Linked DNA regions of Oreochromis niloticus. The protein of the gene in region 1 interacts with the protein of each later gene in a pairwise test. Links are inferred from orthologs where the notes say so. Each region holds a gene or a part of one and is shown on either strand. Other genes may lie near its edges. The genes, in order: numbl and spsb3a.

Region 1 (9,394 bases):
TCTGCATGCCAAAGTATCCTTGGGCAAAATGCTGAACCTCAAATTACTCTCAGATGCATTCACTGGAGTATGAATGTGTGATTGTTATATAGAAAGCACTTATATATTAAATAAAGTGGGTGAATGAGACATGTTGTATAAAGCACTTTGAGTATTCCAGTAGAGTAGAAAAGTGTGATATGGAACCAGTCCATGTACCATTTACTATGAGCTGAGCTACATTTTGTGACTTGCCTGAACAAATACTCTGACTATTTTGTGATAGTAAACAACAGAAATTACATTAGTGCCACTGCTACCTATAAAAGAGGGGTGTCTGCCCTCTTTTTAAAATTTCAAACAGGCTAACATTGTTAATGTCACAATGGCTGAGCTAACATAGTTTGGTCTGCCTTACACTATCACAGTTGGCAGCTGTTATTTTACCTTGCTAGCTTGCTAACTGGATATATTACCAAAATAAGACGTGTTGTTAAAAAACATAAAAATGATGACCATTACACACAAATTGAAGTCAAAACATAAGTAAGGCCATCTAGAGCTTCATATGCTCTATAACCAAAGTATGAGAGGCACCAGGCAAATCTTCCAATGGGCCATTTTATCCCACATTCTTTAGTTTGTAAAAAAAACAACTTTTCTTTGAGCAGTGAGCTGAGCTGACACGTTTTCTTTTGGTAGCAACAGTTCAAATGCTTTTGAAAAGGCATTAATAGTTCGTGACTCATTTAGAAACTAAAAACACTGAGAAAGCACTGAAAAAGAAAAGATGGTTGAGCGAGCATGGAGGTAAAAACAACATATAAAGAGACAGAGGTTTTTGTGCTTACATCTCTTGCTAAAGCTCTGAGCTCCACTTCAGTGCCCATCTCATCGCTAGCTCTCTGGACCATTACCATCAGGACCGTTTTCCATTAGCCTCAGCCCCACACGATGCCTTTTCTTATACTCTCAGCTTTCTTTGTTGCCTTTATCTTTTTGCTTTGTATTTCTCTCCTGGTCCATTCAGTCTGCGGTCTTTCTTTCCTTTCACTTATCTTATCTGGTTCTATCTATCTCTCATTTCAAATCTGAAAATGTCTCTCCTTACCCTCTGTGCGCCCTCATCCCTCACCTTGTCATTTCCTGTGCTCTCTGTAATCTATAACCTTACCTCATCGTCACTCCTCTTTCTCTGGCTTCCATCTCCCTCCTTCATTCTCTCTCCAGCTCTTCTACAAATCACTTTAGCTCTCAAGGATGGCCATACAGTACATGCTCAGAACGGAGCTTGTTATCAGTAAATTGGTCCGTTAATGGCGGCCCTTTTTTTGCATTTATGGCATGGGAGGCATTCAGCTACTGAGGTAGAATATGGATCAGTGCTTTACTATTGACGGTTCTTATAAAGATCAAAGGTCAGAGCCAAACTATCCTGAAATGTATCACAAAGCCTAACCATAGGCATTACATTAAAAAGTATATTTGCTTTCTTTAGGTACTGTAATATTATGAACAAATAGAAATAATAAGATTTATGCTGTTTTTATTAGTGCTGTCAGTGTTAATCTCATTAATCTCGTGCGTGAGGCTACACGGCGTCAATGCATTAGCGCCATCCAGCCCCACGCACGGGGTGATCCGCGTCAACTCTCTAACAGAGATTTGTCGCGTTAATGTGATTATGGCGTTAATATCATTTTAACGAGATTAACACTGACAGCACTTTTGTCAGTTTTTATATATATATACATATATATGTGTGTGTATATACATATACATATACATATATATATATATATATATATATATATACACACACACACACACACACACATTTTATTCAGATAATATTCAGACTTCAAGAAAGCTGGTGGCAGCAAACAACTAGCTTAGCTTTGCATAAAAACTAACAGACCGTACTGCTAAGATAAAGTGATAATTACGTGAGAATCTTGTGCACCCTTTATTGCTGAATGTATTTATACAGCACTGACTTCACTTATTAATAAGGGCCAGTCTCTGGGGTTTAAAAACGAAGCAAAGGCAGAATGCAATTCATTAAATAGCCACTTGAGGCTGGCTCCAAAAGTTAGTTAATCCCTAAAGACTCCAAAAAGCCCAACATTATAACAGAGATAAACATGTTTGCAACTTTACTTTTTTAGATAATTTCCCACCCTGCGATATCTTTGTGAGAGTGAATATAAGTTTCAAATGTGCTGAAAATATTTAGGACATGGATGATATGACTGGCATATTAGGTGCCATCTTGTCTGGTTCAGCATTCAGTTTGTGTAAAAATATGCTTTTGATAAAGCTATTTTAGTTGAGGCTCGCTCTGAGCAGCTCCTCTAGCCAGCATCACTGTTAGCACATAAGATCTTGCCTAAATATTATCTCATAGTCTTAACTCATTTGCTTTTTCATACTTAACATTAAAATAAATGAAGAAAGAAATAAAAAAAGAAATGAATCAGGCTTAGATTAACCGAATAACGACTGTAGATACTTACCCGAACAGCAAAGTTACATTTGCCCTTGCGTACAGCCTCCTCGTCAGCCTGCCATTGATGCGGTCTGCTGGCCTCTGGCACATAGGTGGGCTTCTTCCTCCTCAGGCTCTGACGAAGCTTGTTCATCTCCGGGGTCACGTGCTCCCTGGTACTGCAGACACAGAAAGGGATGTAAGTTTAGTTGCAGAGCACTGGAAGGCCATAGAGTATCTCTGTACTCAACAAAGGAAAAATGACAACCACCTGAGTCTCATTACCGCAAGCACAGAACAATAAAAGAATTTTTAAAAACACATTCATGTAATAGCAATTAAATAGTCAGGCACATTAAAAAATGTTTAAATGCAACAGTGCCAAACTATAATTGAATGAAATGCCACTTGAGACAAACCACAGTCCTGTATTTCATATGGTATTATGAGAGAAGTGGGAAGGATTTCATTGATTGGCTGGAGCTCATTAAGCTATAATCATTTCTAACAAGGCAGTCAGTACATCAGTGCCACAAACACTTTCCATCATAATGCTCCATTGATTCTCCATTCAGACGCAGGCTGTACAAATCACACAGGTAGAACATTAATGAACACAAAAGCATCGGGCACGCTTTCATCTCTCGAAGAAACATCAAGAATGCTGAGCGCATGCTAATCAGCACACACATGTGTGCACTCCACTCCTCCTGTGAACAATCCTCCCTCCGCTCCCTAATTAGACCATTCAGCCCGCTGGCCTGTTTAGCGCGTGCTAATTTCCCAGCATAATGAAACATGATGCCATCAAAACATGACCTGCTTTAAAAAAATAATTACTGTTTTCATTCCTCCACACTCACATCCCAGCTTCAACAGGAGATCTGAAGTACAATAAAAACACCTCTTTCCTCATTTGCGTCCTTTCTCTTTATTGACTCTAAATTAACTGCATCATCAGCTTCCTTGTTGTCCAAGTCAAAAGTTTCAAATTGGACTAAGCAGTGAGTCTATTCTGCTTTTCTTGTCCTCAATCTCTGAACACAACTGGTCTCTCTTCTCTACACAGTATAAGGGATCTGATTAGTGATACACGAGCAAGGCCCAGTTTGTAAATCCGCAATATCAAACCAGGAAGAGTGCTAGAAAAAAAAGGCTTGCATAAAATTATTATTATAAGATCACAATATATTAGAAATGCTTATCTCGTGTCGTATTCTTCCATATATCTTGAGTTAATAAGAGTAAAGAGCGATCTTGTTTTATTCGCTTACCATCTGGATGATCCATAAATCGGCATTCCAGCTTTTACAGGGTAAGAGAGCACATTAATCTTACACTGAAGACATACGATGTCCATATGTAAAGTGGTGATCTCAACACTGAAGGGCAGAACGCTTCTCTCGGCTCTGCCACCACGGGGCCAAATTTATACTGAATATATAGTCGGACACGTCACTTCTCATAATTGCTGCTACCCTGATGGTAATGCTGCCAAAGACTGGTGTACCGGAAGCGTGTGTGCAATTCTTGTGCACCACACACACTCCCTGTGTAATGCAGAGTATTCAAATGCAACAGCTCAAGTGGCTTTACTCATGTCTAGCATGTGAGGCATGTGTCATCTGCCAAGAGTAGATGCTCATACACACACACAGACAAAACATACCCACAAGCCCCTCTGCAGCTTTTCACACATGTCGAGGTTTGTGCCGCTCATATCTGGGAAAAGTGCCAGCTGACTGGCACCTGGCACGCCCCCAGCACTGCTGCAGCAGGTGTGAACGGGCGTGAGCGAAAGGGTTACAGCAGAGTTTTACATAACGCCTCACAGCAGAGGTAGAAGGGGGCTGGGGTGGCTTAACTCATGCCTGGCATGAGTAAACGGACCCTGTAAATTAACAGACCCAGTAAAGGAAGTACTGGGTAAGGAATACAGGACACCCTCATATGGTCTAGGACAGCGGGGGAGGAGTAGTGAGCAAATGGCACTGGCATCCAATGGCAAACCACATCGGAGAGACGCAGAAATTAAACAATGTGGACTAAGGATACTGGGACAAGTTTGAGAAAAAGGGAGGAATGAAGTACTGAGGTGAGAGAATTGGTGTTATAATACACTAAATGATCCTGTTCATCATCCATCGTCTAGTCTTAATAAAAAGGGAACTGTGTGGGAGTAGAGTAGCTTAACAGATTCACAGGTCAGTACACTACAAGCACGAGGGCAGAAAGTCAGACAGAGCAACATCCAGCAATAATGCAGATTTTTTTTTATTTATTAGTAAATACATTTTTTTAAAAACCCAACTGCTCATCCAATGGTAAGCATGGTATCTCCTCAGTTTTATTAATTATAAAAATGAATTGCATATTTGAGAACCTAAACATGATCGATAACTCTTGAAATTTTGCTTGTGTTAGGTCGGGTGTCAATGTACTTATTTTATGGGTCCCTTTAAAATTGCAACCATATATACGAATTTAACACATATATAAAATTTGGTAGACGTGTCATTGAGACACAAAAAATTCCTCTTGGATCCACGCCCTGAACCCTGAAGGAAGTTCTCCATTTTGAATTTCTACATGAAATTTTCATCAGCGGTTTCACTATTTTATACAGCAGCATCACATATAATGAGTGGATGTTTCTTATTCTGGATTCAAGAGAAGTTCAGTCCACACAGCTGCAATAATTTTAGCTGGGCCTTGGTCTCCCACTATTGTTTTCTCTAGTGTAACTTTAGCGTTGTAATTATTTATTGGAAAGATAATATTCATTGGTATCAGTTTTCTCATCTAAGTCAAAGCACTAAATGAACTCATCCAGGCTACAATGAAAATACAGGTGAACGCAGGTTGATGGGCTTTCTCATGATGTGCACCGTGGCGTGAAATGAACAAAACTATCTGGTAGTAAACACTTAATGATAGAGAGACACATTAGGGCGGTGAAACTGCCAAACACTGAAATGGTGAAGTCGTTGCATAGCTGTGACCTAGCCCTGCAAAACTAGAACCATCTGCAGTGAGGGGGGGAAAAAAAGATGAGAGCCAGACAGAGGGGGTGGGTTGGCAAGCATCAAAATAAATCTATAAATCAATGGCACAAATTAAATCCCACTCCCTTTATGAACCCACGCAAAACTCGTAAGCACTTCAGTGTAGCCTACACAAACAAGAGGCCCGGTGCCAAAAAAGCACATATTTGTTCCCAGTTTAGTGTTTGAGTTTGCAGCCATCTGGAATGTATTGTTGGGGAGATGGCAAGCAGGACAACTTACGGTCATATGATGTTATGTCGTAGAAATTTCTTTCACCCGAGCCGACCTCCTACTCTGGTCCTCCCTATTCCTTCTTCTTAACTGTTACTTACACTGCAGATCTCTTGTTCAAAAAAGATGCGGAGACGGGCGCAAAAACGAGCCCGAAGCTAAACGTCTGCAGCTCTGCCGATGCGAATGTGAGGAAATAGGTTTCACAGGGCTGACTTTAGTGTGAAGAGCTAGCTTACGCGTACAGACTAATAAAATGTGGTGAAAAGAATTTTTACATCTTGCTCCGGCTTAAGTTGGTATTTTAACTGTGAGATGGTTGGTGGTTATTAACAGCATGTGTGCATGGGATTTACTATAATTATCAGTAATAACAGCACATTCCCGAATATATGTATATTACAAATGTCAGATGTCTTGTATTTGTCTCACCTCTGTATTAACAACACATGATCTGTGTTAAGACTGCTTGTGCGTCCAGCTGCGTTTTGTGTCTGCCAGATGTGACTCTGATTGATTTCTTTGGCACAATGCCTCTCTTTCACACACACACACACACACACACACGCACACACACACACAAACACACACACGTACGCAACGTCCCTCCCTGATCCAGATGTTCTGTGTTCAACATCGGCCCAGAGATTTTGGCAAAATGGGACATACTCCTCCCTCACACATCTCCTCAACCAGATGCTTAAGAAAAACACAGCTCAAACAAGAAGGGGAGTAGGGGTGAGAGCGGTGATGTTACCACACACACACACACACACACACAATGACTCACTGCCACCTCGTATTACGGAAAGCCATATGTGTGTGGAGCTCCAAAGAAACTAGGAATGGACATAAAGAGGTGGAGCAAGTCTCCAGTGTGTGTGTGTTTAAGCGTGTTTATCTTTGTGAGTGCAGTAACAGAGTATTGCCTTGGCTTAGTCATCATAGTGCTGACCACTTTATGTGGACACACTGTACCTCTCTGTGTTGCCCACTCTACTAAAGTCCGGCTGTGGCTCTTTGGCTGTGCAAATAAGACGCTGAGGTGTTTCGCTAAAGCTGCGAGTATGACTCACAGCAACTTTTAAGTCATAGTGGAGTGGGAAAGTATCAAAGGTCTCTATTACCACAGCAGCATGCAGGAGCGAGAGTGTATTATACTCTGAAAAGATCCACAGTGGGTTAACAAATTACAACACATACATTACTGGTCCTAAACTCAGTAATCGCATTGTAATTGCTAACAGCCGTGTTACATAAGTTCAAAATGATCTGCATAATGGTTGGATTAATAACTCTTTAAACTTGCTTTTTTTCAGCACGGCTAACAAAACATGAACATTACCTAAGATTTTTTAGCCTAAACACAGATGTGTGCTTACAAAGTTCAGCTCATGCATGTCATCATATTGGCTCAGTCACACTAGGAGTAAAAATAGGACAGCAACCTCCTTGCAATTAGGAAAACTCTCACCGTTTTGTGCGTCTCACTGGTGATTGCAGTACAATTTTTGGGGACAGATTCACAAGTAGTTGGAGTGACAGACCGGTTCACCAAGAAAATGACCATGTTCTATTTGAACTCCATCTTATCGCTGTTTGATATCACAAGTGCATTGCACATGTTTGTAATAATTTCGTTTTCCAAAGTGTGACTGCAGCATAATTAGCATAGCGTTTGTGCATTATGCGGGCACTCTCAAGCTTAAGAGCTTAGAATATTTTCCTGACTTCACAATTCCCTTCAATGTTAAAGAGTATAAAGTGTAATAAGTGCAGATACAATCCCACAGCTGAAGTCCTACATATTTACCTTTGAAGAGGAATTTCTCTGCTAAGAAATTGTAATATGGTGGTGTTGGGTTGGCAGCCAGCTTTTCTGCTCCAAACCAAAACAATGAAATCATACAAATTACATGTAAAATGAAATAACAGAATTTATTGAGCACTCAGTCTCATAAATACATGTATTGCCTACATGTGGAAACTTTATGCATATTACTGGCTATTGAACTAATAAAGGCACCAAAAACCAAAAAGAAATATTTCATTCAAACCTTTCCATCATTTTAGAAGTGCTGTAAGAAACTATGCAAACATTACCCTAATAGGTAATGTTTGCATAAATCAACAAACACATTGGATGCAGGCACATTATGCTGACACGACGCGCACACACGCAGTAAAAACTGACCCAGTTTGTGGTCCCTGCAGACTTCACACACTGACACTGACACTGAGTGACCCACATAGAGACACTGACACATACTACCATTACTATTATCCCCAAGTATGTCTCTCTTTTTCTCATACTCCCTGAAAGTGACAGGTGGTGTGTGTGTGTGTGTGTGTGTGTGTGTGTGTGTGTGTGTGTGTGTGATTAAAATATAAAGGAGCGTGAGGCAGCGGACATAAACCAGGGCACTTGTGTTTAGACTGAAGTTTGTCCCAGGACAGGATGCAGTGCAGTGTTTTATTAATCTAAGTAGGACTATGTATGTTTATGAGGGAGAAAGATACAGATACGGAGAGTGTGTTTTGTGCGTCTCTAAGCCTTTGTTACTTCCTGGAAACAGCTCCCTCCCTGCAGGATTTCTGTCAGATGGAGCAAACAATCTCCAATAGTTTACTGCTTTGTAATACTTTGAATTCCTGTAAGTTCACATGTACAAAAATACCATTCTCTGTGCTAAACTGGGTGTCAACCTAGTTTAGCACAGAGAATGTAGCAGTAAAGTACTTGAACTTACTCTTATAGCCAATATTTCATTCTTACTGTGAACTGCAACAAGATATTAGCTATCTGGGGAAATTCCTGTATTCCTTGCACCACAGACCTATAACAATATTGGTTCATTTAAACATTTTAAAAACTCCCTATTCTTGATACCTGAATGCAATTAGTTACTACAGAAATCTTGGACATGGTGACCCATTAGCGACCTCATAACCAACGCAAACACTGGATCCCACCTCGACAACAAACTACAACAACTAAAGCCTGGCCAGTATTTCCAGCCGCTATCAGCTATTTGCTGATCTATTTGTGTCACCATTTATAACAATAAGGGGAAATTTAAAAAGTAAAGAGTGTTGACGATGCATAGTTTGTACACCAGGCCACCCTGCAACTAGGAACACTAAAACAACCACACACAAGAACTAACCGATCAGAGCAGAGTTACACAGACTGTCATTGAATAAATAGGGAAATCTGGGTTTTTTATGTGTCTGAGAAAAAAATAATCGGACGATACATATCAGATTATCGGATTTTGAAACTGCCAAACATCAGTTAGGTTTTAATCATAACACTACTAAATTAAATATTTAACCTTAAACTTTCACATTCCCAAAAGTCTTTGCATTTCAAAAACTGAGAAAAAAGAACAGCAACGCTTGTCAGAAAAAGAAAGAATCAGAGCTCAAACACTTGTAAAAAAAACTTAAAATGTACAAACTGAGTTCGCGCTGCCTCGTCTGAAGCTATATGAAACATTTATACCCTAAGGTGTAGTAGTTACTGCGAGCAAATCTAAAGCAGAGCCTCTCTGGGAAGAGCAGATACAGATCAGTGGAGTGCTGTATACACTGTGGAGGCAGCTTTCCTGTAAGCGTGGAGGTTTAAATGCATCAAAACTGCTCCCTT
Region 2 (10,237 bases), on another chromosome or scaffold:
GCTTTACGGTAACTCAAAACAAAGACTGCACCCTCTCCACTCGCTGTTTACAGACTGCATACTTTCCAGATGACCACAGGTCAGGTGGTATATCGTGATATATATCGTTATGGTGATATAAAATAATTCATATCGTGATAAATATTTTTTCCATATCGCCCAGCACTAGAACAAACAGAGACATACCAAAATAATAGCTTGATGATGAATCTACTGTCTGTTAAAGAAACTTTTAAAACATAAAAAAGTAACAGCAATGAAAATGTTAAAATATCAGCATTAAAAGGCTACACTAAATAATGCACACAGCTTTTTAGACGGAAAAAAAAAAGGCTGGAAGCTAGATGGATGATGTCTCCATGAATGTAACATATAACAGATATTTTTCAAGAAATAACGCTTATCTGATGTGTCGTGAGAGGTGCATGCCTTGCTCAAAGGTTATCGCTCTCTTTTTTAAGGCTAAAAGCTGCAAAGTGCACTCAGGTTCATTTACCGTTAACTTTTAGCATTTAAGGAGCGAACAGTAGTTACATAATATAGAATATCAGCTGATTCTGAGCAACAGAGGAGAAACTTGCAGATGCCACTGATACATGTAACAAAGTCCTCTGATAACTCACTGATAACATTTAAAGTGAGAAAAACATACATTAAATGCAAGATACGCGATGAAAATACAGAAAATTTCTATACAGTATCTGTTTTTTTAACCCTCCCCATTTTGATGACCACCACATCCACCCATAACAAAATAACATGGTATATTTTCACCTTTTACTGAAGCTGGCTTTGATACTCGACATGTGATGAGCATGAAGAATGGCATGACAGAAGATCACAGTTTTCCACCGACGTTTCGCTCCCTCCGCTCGACCGCCCTCGTTACTTTCTCCAGACGCCACTAATAAAGAAAGCTTGAGGCAGTTCAGTAACACTACATCAGATGCCAAAGGACACTAATGTCTGCCAGTGTTTAAGGGGAGGTAGGATCGAGTCGCCCAGTCATGTCCAGCGGCATCTCTTCCTCTGACAGGCCTCTGGATCGGACGAACAACCCTCTGAGTCGCTCTCGGAGGAGGACGGTCCTGCCAAAGCGGGGACCGGCAAACTTGAGGACTGCTCAGCGCCATCTGGGGTTTCTTCCATTGTGCCGCAGTTACCGGTAAGACTGAGCACCCAACCCAGTTTGTTGTGGAGCAAATGACGCAGGCCAGGTGGTAGGGGCAACACATCTAGGATGTCTATACAGTCTGGCACCAGCTGGCGAAGACGAGCACAGCACAGGTACAGCAGGGAGGTGGGTGCAGAGCAGGATCTGATGACCTTCATGCTGCTCTTCGCCGCTGTGGAGCACGCCATTGGATAAAACCTCTTATTCTGCAGCTCTGTAGCAGCAACTCCTGGATCAAGACGGGTGAGAAATCTGTATTATTGAGTTTCAGGAGCACACTGCGGTTCACATTTTTGTAAGATAGCAGAAGGTCTCCACTAAACAGCATCTGTTTCTTATGATTACAAAAACTCCTTCGCCTTTGCATATAGTTGACCTATTAGGGCTGAGTCACACAGGCTTACAAACTGGTCCAAAACACACTGGGAACCTGCAGTTAAAATGGAAAAAGGCTTGTGAACTTATAGTGGTTGCTGGAGGTTGCCACCAGTTGCTAGGTGAAACTGGCTGCAAAGATTGGTCACAAAAAACCTCCTTGTAATTGCTTTGGTTTCTAGCATTTCCAACTTTTTACACTTTCACTACCTCTTGGAGAGTAGTTGGTGAGTTTTTGCAGATAAATCTGCATCTTCTGTGCAAACTACAGACAAAGGAATCAAACTGCTATCAAATAAAGCAAGCGGAAGGATGTTTGTGGTTCCAAGCTGGTTGCTGCTCATTTTGTAGGCCTGTGTGACCAGGGACACATCAGAAATAAATTAGTATTTATGTAATCTAATCAGTAGAAAAACTGTCCACAAACCTATGCACTTTCGATTTTTGAAGAAAGTAAGTGTGCCGTGCCACGTGTCCAGATGAACTCCAATGATGGAACCTTGACCAAAACGTGAGGAGAAGTTCATTTTGTCTCCTTTATGATGCAACAAGCCTGGAAAATGAACAAAACCAATGATGTTTAACATATAAAACCCCTTTTGAGCAACTATCAATACATCAGGGGCACTTGTGTTTAAGTTACCAGTGTAAGAAAGCCCCCAGCTGTCTGCATCTTTTCCCAGCAGGCTGCAGAAGGTATGTCTGTATTTGTCCAGATTGACATCAGATGTACCGATACCAACCATCTGTGCAGAAATAAATAAACATTTAGGCACAAATACACATTTGTTCTGCTTCTAGGACAATTTTTGGTGACTAAGGAAAATAAGAAGTCGAGCTTTACCATATCTGTTCCGTACACTGGGGACGTCATCTTAATTTCCCAGAAGTGCTGCCCGTCTGCGAGCTCCTTGGAGCCACGGATTGCAGCTGTACCACAGCTGTATTCAGAGTGGAAGTTCACTTTGCGATTTTCGCAGCTCAGTAATGTTGCTGTCGATCGGCTGTTGGCATCCCAAACCCAATCAAAATCTAAAACATAACGAGTCATTTATCAAATATTAATGAGCATAACAAAAGATGATGTACTGTGCCCTGCCCCGGCTGTCATGTACCTTGGTCATCCTCTCCACAGTGGCAGTCTTTAACCTGGAGAAAGCCTCGCAGACGAGGGTTGTAGCTGGTCTCTGCCTGGGAATCACAACCGCAGTAGGACTCTCCGGTGACGGGTACTGCGCTGGGGACTGGTGGGACCATCACTGCTGAAAAGTCTCCCTCAGAGTCTGAATCACTTGCGTACTTCGGAGCAACAACAACAAAGAAATAAAAAGAGCAAAATAAACTGTCTGCAGTGTTATTTATGCACAGACTTTGCTGTCAGCCCTCGAAAAATGCTAAATGGAGATGCTGCATTGCAGGAGGCAAACAATGCTTTCCTTCACTATCCTTTCCGCATTGAAACAACTGACCCTCAAGCTTTAAGCATCACACAATGATATTAACAAATGCACACAGCTCATAACGCCCAAATCCAAGTTAGATGCTTTCTGTCTGGTGGGGATCCACATCTTCCTTATTTACCTCAAGGCGATCATAGTTCCATTCTTCACTCTCAGAAGCCAACACAAGGGCCCGGGCATCAGCATCCCTCCGTATGCCTCCCCACACATATCTCCATGCACGACTGTTCCTGCTTCTCCTGGACATGGCAGCAACAGAGTCTCACTGTAGGAAGAACCTGCCAGTCTGCTGAGGTTTAGTCCAGATGTTGGAAGAACGGCATCAGTACAGCAGCTGAATGACAACAATGCAATGTGATTATCACGGGAAAAAACCAACAACAACAAAAACTCACATAAACTGAGCTGCTTTTAGTACTGAACGACAAAGTCGTGCATCTGTCTGCAGACCCCGTGTGACGTATAATGTGTATTATTCATAAATCCTGGCTTGTCTGTATGGCAACATTTCCTACACCACGCATTTATAGTGCTTTATTTTAAATAAATCCTGCAACCCCATCTCTAATCTCATGTTTAATGTATGTTATTTAAGACATTTTAGAAAGCATTTTCAGGGCAGCATTAGCCGTATCCCACTGAAACCTCCCCTCTGTATCGGCTCACGCTTACACATATCACCATATCAACATAGCATAAAGCTAACTTTGTCCACAAATCAATTATATCACAAGTAAAAATTATTACCCCCTTGATTAGGTAGGAAACTACTTTTCACAAATAGCATTTTTTAAAACTAACACAAACGGCTAAAGCTAGCTACCTGGCTAGCCAGCAGAGCCGCGTATGTATCAACATGTTAGCTGGTAATAACAAGGTCAGAAGCATTTTACTGGTGATTATTGATACGTATTTACATTGCAACACGGTAAATACATCTAAGGCACGTAAGGTCGCAATTTATCTGATGACATGCATCAAGAAACCTATTTTAGGCTAGCTATTTAGCTTTCGTTAGCTACCCGCTGCTAGCATTGCTGAAAAATAAAAGCGAGACGTTCTTATTACCTGTTTGTTGGTCACATTCAGTTTCTACATAAAAACCGCTAAACCCGCAAAGACGTCGTCCCTTGAGTGTCCTGTATTACAAGATACTTCAGGCAAGACAGCTCGCCGGGCTTCTGTTTTCCATGACCTACTTTTCATGAGTGCGACCGTAAACAATAACAGGCAGACTGAGGAGGAGCTGCGGCGCAGGAAGTTTTCTGCACTCATCACAGACTCCTGTCATCATCTCAGCAGCCAGCAGTGACTGAACCTGTTATACTCAGCCGTAAAAACAAGTATCCCCTGCGGTGGAGAACCTTTAAGGCATTAACATGGTAAAATACCGAAAATTTTGCTATCGATCCGATACGAAGTAAATAGCAGGCCACTATTGCCGATACCAATAACGATACCGATACTTTTAAGCTATAAAGCCAGCTGATGGTGAGAACATTATGTCATGATTTATGAGATGAATTATCATTAATTTGCTAATTTTGAACAATAAATCACTGTTATTTTTTACTTTCCACAACTTACTTACTTATTTGACACAACAAAAACACACCTTTCAGGTTTTCATATATTTTGAAACTGGGTTTTTTTGGAGAGCCAGAGTTTAAATGTGCCTGCTTAAAGGACTCTGGGTCAGCTTCTGTTAATGGAGTTTATAGGTTATAAATGAAATAGACATGACACTCAATACAAAAAGGCCCTGACATTTTTCATGGTGCATGTTTGAGGTGTGTGCTACATACTGAACTTAGAGGATAGAAACAAACTATTGATCTAATCCGCTAGTATCGATCCAATACCAATTCCAGTGTTGGTATTGATACAGTCAATATTAGGATCACTATTTATTCTTGGACTTCACTAAATTAGTGTTGCATGATAGAAGTTGAAAATAATCCTTATTTATTTAATGTTGGGTTTCAGTTCAGCTGCTAAGCTAATCCACCGTTCCAGCTTCCTTTAAGCTTGCTTTCTTCTTATTGGCTGCCCCTCATAAACACAAGGTTTGCAGAGTAGGTGAGTGGGGCTATATTCAAGAATACTGTTCCTGACATCACACAGAGCCAAGGGTATAAAATTATCGGAAACTGAGTGGTTAAGTCAGCCTCACACCCTAGTTTTTGCAGAAACACAGCCTCAATGGACACTTTATTAGAAACCCCCTTTCACCTGCAGAACAGACTCAATTCTTCATGGCATAGACTTTGTCAACAGTCCTCCATATATCCCATATTGACTTGACAATGTCACAGAGTTGTTTGCAGATTTGTTGGCTGCACATCCATGATGTGAATCTTCTATTCCACCACATCCCAAAAGTGCTCTATATGATTGAGGTGACTGTGGAGTTCATTTGAGTATAATTAATTCAGTATCTTGTTTGAAAAAAACAAAACAGTTTCTGATGATTTGAGCTTTGTGACATAACATCCTGCTGGAGTCAGAAGATGGGTACACGGTGGTCATGCAGGGATGAATCTGGCCAGCAACAGTGCTCAGGTAGGCGTTTTACATGATGTTCAGTTGGTACTGAAAGACCTAAAGTGTGCCAATAAAATATCGCCCACACCATTACACCACCACCAGCAGCCTGAATTGTTGATACAATGCCGGATGGATCTGCTTTCATGTTATTTATGCCAAATTCTGATATCACCATCTGAATGTCAAGACTCACGAAACCAGGTAATGTTTTTAACCAGACAGCTGCCGGCCATTCTCTGTCAAGACTAAAAGTAAATAAATAAAGTTTCTGCAGTATTCAGATTTTATGAGAACTTGTAGATGAAACTTTTTTGGGGTCAGGACTGTTCATTTAACCTGTTTGGAAGACTTTCAATCCATGAACTTATGGGTTTAAAATACCCAACATATTGGCCAGATATCTGCTGTCTGCTTTCCTTTTGCAGTGTTTGGTTATTTCATTAACAGATATACTTTAAAAATAAATACTGGACAGTGAGATTCTGGAGGAGGTTGAGTTTTATTTGGAAATCTGACAGGCATGGCTGAACAGTGAGCTCTCACCTTCAACAAAATAAAACAAACAAATCAAGACAGCAGCACTACAGGTAAACGATACAAGTGTCTGAGGAGGTCATATTAAACATAAATCCACTTGCATACATTATGCACTCAGATCATTCACGCACACACACTGTCAACTCCATATGAACATGTGGACATCCTCCATTAATATTCACACTACATCCAGAGGAATTCCAAGCACTTATAACAATTACCCACAGTGCAATTAATCTAACTATACACAGATAATTTATATATTTTTTATGTATATAGGGTATTCAATAAACAGTACTCCATTTAGATAGCTTCAAAATCTTTATAGCTGTCCATAAATAGTGAAAAAAAAAGTTTCAAAAATGGTCCCAGAAAAGAACATGAAAAAAATAAAATACTAGTGTTCACGATATCTTCAGCAGTCTTAAACAGAGGTTGACAATATAAACCACCAACAAAAAACAAACAAACAAATAAATAAATAAATAAATACATAAATAAACCAAAGGAGGGGAATGGGCAGAGGGGGGTAAACGTTGATACTCACACTCACAGCACAGACTGGTTACTACATTTACTGGGGGGCAGGGGGGCTCTGGATCACTGTACAGTTTAAGATCAGACAATAAATCAGGCAGACTGTCCACACATCATCCCACAACACACAGTACATGTTCATGCCCGTTCTGTACGCACAAGACCTGACACAACTGGATGGCTTTCAACAATATGGATAGACACCTATCTGAGGACAGAGCTGTCAAAGTCGAATGTGTTTCTGTCGCCATCCCGTCCTGTCAGACCCACCGGGTGTAATGGAAGTAGGTGAAAATCTCCTATTTGTTCTTGCTGCTCTGATGTGGAATGAATGAGATGGTGGCATGATGGAGACACTTATTTTGTAGATAGGATGAGGGCCACGATGAGGCCGTAAAGACCCAGCACCTCGGCGAAGATCAGGATCAGGATCATGCCCACGAACAGCCGAGGCTGCTGAGCGGTCCCTCTCACGCCGGCGTCACCCACGATGCCGATGGCGAACCCGGCCGCCAGGCCGCTCAGGCCCACGCTCAGACCGGCACCGAGATGCAGGAAACTCCTGTTGAAGAGAAGCAGTAGAAAATACTTTTGTGAAGTTGGGAGCATTCACAGCCTGGTTCTGCCACAGGTTTCTTCCTGTTAAAAGAGAATTTTTCCCCTTCCCTCTGTTGCCCAGTGCTTGCTCATGGCAGTTGTTTGATTGTTGGGGTTTTCTCTGTATTATTGTAGGGTCTTCACCTTAGAATATAAAGGGCCTTGAGGCGACCGTTTTGTGATTTGGTGCTATAGAATTGAACTGAAATATCTTTTTCGTCCATAGGTTGGAAATACTCTGTGAGTTTTATATGTAGCATCAAATTGTGCACTGAAACGTCCTCATCTAGTGTGAGCATGTGTTGTGTTAAGTGTGTGTGAGCACAAAATTTTGTTTACAAAACTGTGGCGTGCTATGTTCGCTCCTCTCTCTTGTTCCTCCTTCTAAACTTGCATGAAAAAATAGGAAGCAGTGTGCAGAGATCAGCAGTTTCACTCTACATGTTTGTGTTGTTGTATTTACTGCTTTTCAGCAATTCTATCCAAAAGGTCTGAATAAAAGTGCTGAATTCTGAAAAGAACAAGCCCAGTTTCAAATCTGCAATCTCTTTATGCATTATTAATAATAACTGGACTAGATCAAATTGCTCAAGTCTTTACAGAAAGTGGCATGTTAAGGACTCGCCTAGTGGTTAATATGCATGCCCACAGTTTTTAAAAACAACCGGAACAAATAAAATTCAACCCTGGCTGGTCTCCCCAGAGAAACGTGCTCATCAGGGCTGCTACATAAATAATGTCAGAAGACCATTTAAAGTGCTTTCATACAGCAAAGTGAACACCTGTTTACGAGCATGGCGCTGTGTTTACAGTGAAATAGTACACCTTGACAGCACAACGCTAGTTTGGTTTTCCTGCCCACAAACACTGTGCTGTTGGGTCTCAGCTATATCACAAAACTGCCACCGGGAAACAATTCATGTTAACTGACTGAGACCCGCCCAGCAAAACAACGAAGAGCCAGATGAAACAAGTGGACCATGAAGGAGGTTAAACAGTAAGCTCAGGTCCAACAGGTTTATTTCTTTAAGGAGATGGCAGAGATTATAATAGAGCTCAAAGGCCAGAGATGATTGCTCTTTTTAAAATGTTGCTATAATCTGATCATTTTTAGCCTGTTTGTGAGCTTAAATCTTTGTTTTTGCGTTGCTTAAAATTAAGTTGTGTATGTAAACAGTAACTATAGAAACCCGACTCAACATAATCTTGAATAACACGTCAGACACAGACAATGAAATTGAGATTGCAATTTTACTGTAACATCACTATATGACAAACAAACAAAGGTCCTTTGTATGAGAAGTTTATCTTACTTGTAAAGAGAGACTCTCTCAGATATGTTGTTTGCTATCAGCACAGCCACCACCAGCCCGTAGATGGCGATGATACCTGCCATGACCACAGGGATGATGGACTTCATGATGAGCTCTGGCCGCATCACAGACATGGCAGCGATGCCTGTGCCGCTCTTTGCCGTCCCATATGCTGCTCCTAACGCTGAGAAAGAGAAATGATAAATCTGCGTTAATGAAGCAAAGCTCAGAGTTTTATCTTCTGAGGCAAGATGCTGAAAGACAGGATGAGAAATTCGACTGCCAGTTCTTTCTTGCATTTCACCTACATTTTAGCTTTCCTCACAAACCATCTCGGAAAAATTGCATGAAAAATGTTATAAGTTGTTAGACTGTGAAGTCTCGCTACGCAACGCAACACCGCCCACTTGAGTACTTTATATGACTCTTTTCATGACTAATAATGCCACCGATGGGCGCTCGTCCAGCAATTTTTCCCTCCGCTCTGCTGTCACCTCACATTTCACTGATGCCCGCTTGGCTCGTCACACTGCCATGAATGCTGCACATACCAAAATATTACAGTTTATACGTCCACAACAACTCTGCAATAAACCCAGGCATTTGCAGGAATCTCAACCTGTTATTTTATCTGCATTTCCTCCTGCTGTTGATCACAAACTGCCTCTGCTTCTTTATCACTGTCTCCTATTTGCATGCGATTTCATTTGTTTTGCATTAGAAAACCCTCTGTGTTCACAGTAAATGTGTACTGTGCAAATGAAGATCAGAAAAGTGAGCAGCATCATCTAAAAATTATGCTTACTTGTGATGATTGAGAAGTGATGAATGGGCTGTAACTAGTGACAGAGCTGTACTGTATTTCAGTAGGTTGTATCTTTAAACTAAAGGGGATTCATGTGTATATTTATACTGTGCTCAGTATGATTTTTACAATCCCATCACATGCACTTAAACAGCTGCATGAACATTATTATTAAATACAGAGTGGATCACTTGCAGGTCAGCCCCTCTGATCAGAAGAAGGCAGAGGTTCTGCCACCGAGCGGTGGCGTTCACATTGTAAATGTCTTTGATGCAGAGCATTCAGGCGCTATTCTTCAACACCTGGAGAGCGCAGATCGGTGCCAGGCGATTCCTCATCATTACATGTGACTTTGCTGGCTGCGAGCAGAGAGCAGCTGTGAACACGGCATGTTTGCAAAGAAGGCTCACTCACTGGGGTGGATGAATAAATAATAATGGTACAATAACACACAGCTTTCCTCACTTCCCACTTGCTTGGCTGTGCAGTCACATTTACAGGCAATGGACTTCTCTGTAGTCTGGGAGTCTGGAATAGTTGTTATTAGTCTGCATTTTGTGCAACTTTTCAAACCATAAGGGTCCAAAAGCTAAAATATTCACACGCCTTTCGCAGTGAGAAGTGTTGGCTATGACGAGGGTGTTCAGCTACACAGGCGAACCATTTTCTTAAAAGTAACATCGGGGCTTCGGTTTCATTAAATGGTTAATGTCTATAAATCATGGACTGGATAAACGGAGAATAATCATACATCTCAAGTTGGCCAGTTTTACTGAGAGTGACAGCAAATTTAAATAATGCAGCTGTATGAAGGGGCTCCTAAATGCTGTGGTGTATAAAATGATGGGTTACTGAAGTGCAACCAATGCACAGTTTGTGCTGAAGTTAGAGG

Evidence for each region.
Region 2: the proteins of numbl (region 1) and spsb3a interact in binary tests that used the Homo sapiens proteins (3 or more experiments, as listed by UniProt). The two-hybrid records come from large-scale screens. The link is inferred for Oreochromis niloticus from reciprocal best matches to the Homo sapiens genes NUMBL and SPSB3.

The regions. Positions count from the first base shown.
Region 1 is NC_031979.2:8,643,797-8,653,190, reverse strand, and holds the start of numbl (numb-like protein), read right to left. Parts: upstream 3,870-9,394; 5' UTR 3,828-3,869; coding exon 3,742-3,827; intron 3,117-3,741; exon of another isoform or gene 3,012-3,116; intron 2,647-3,011; coding exon 2,496-2,646; intron 1-2,495. UniProt on the Homo sapiens protein: Plays a role in the process of neurogenesis. Required throughout embryonic neurogenesis to maintain neural progenitor cells, also called radial glial cells (RGCs), by allowing their daughter cells to choose progenitor over neuronal cell fate.
Region 2 is NC_031969.2:14,041,120-14,051,356, reverse strand, and holds spsb3a (SPRY domain-containing SOCS box protein 3a), read right to left. Parts: upstream 4,411-10,237; 5' UTR 4,078-4,410; intron 3,344-4,077; 5' UTR 3,257-3,343; coding exon 3,131-3,256; intron 2,849-3,130; coding exon 2,665-2,848; intron 2,582-2,664; coding exon 2,394-2,581; intron 2,296-2,393; coding exon 2,193-2,295; intron 2,103-2,192; coding exon 1,977-2,102; intron 1,404-1,976; coding exon 1,006-1,403; 3' UTR 63-1,005; downstream 1-62. Other genes in the region: atp6v0ca (ATPase H+ transporting V0 subunit ca), read right to left, coding at 6,988-7,192, 8,541-8,724.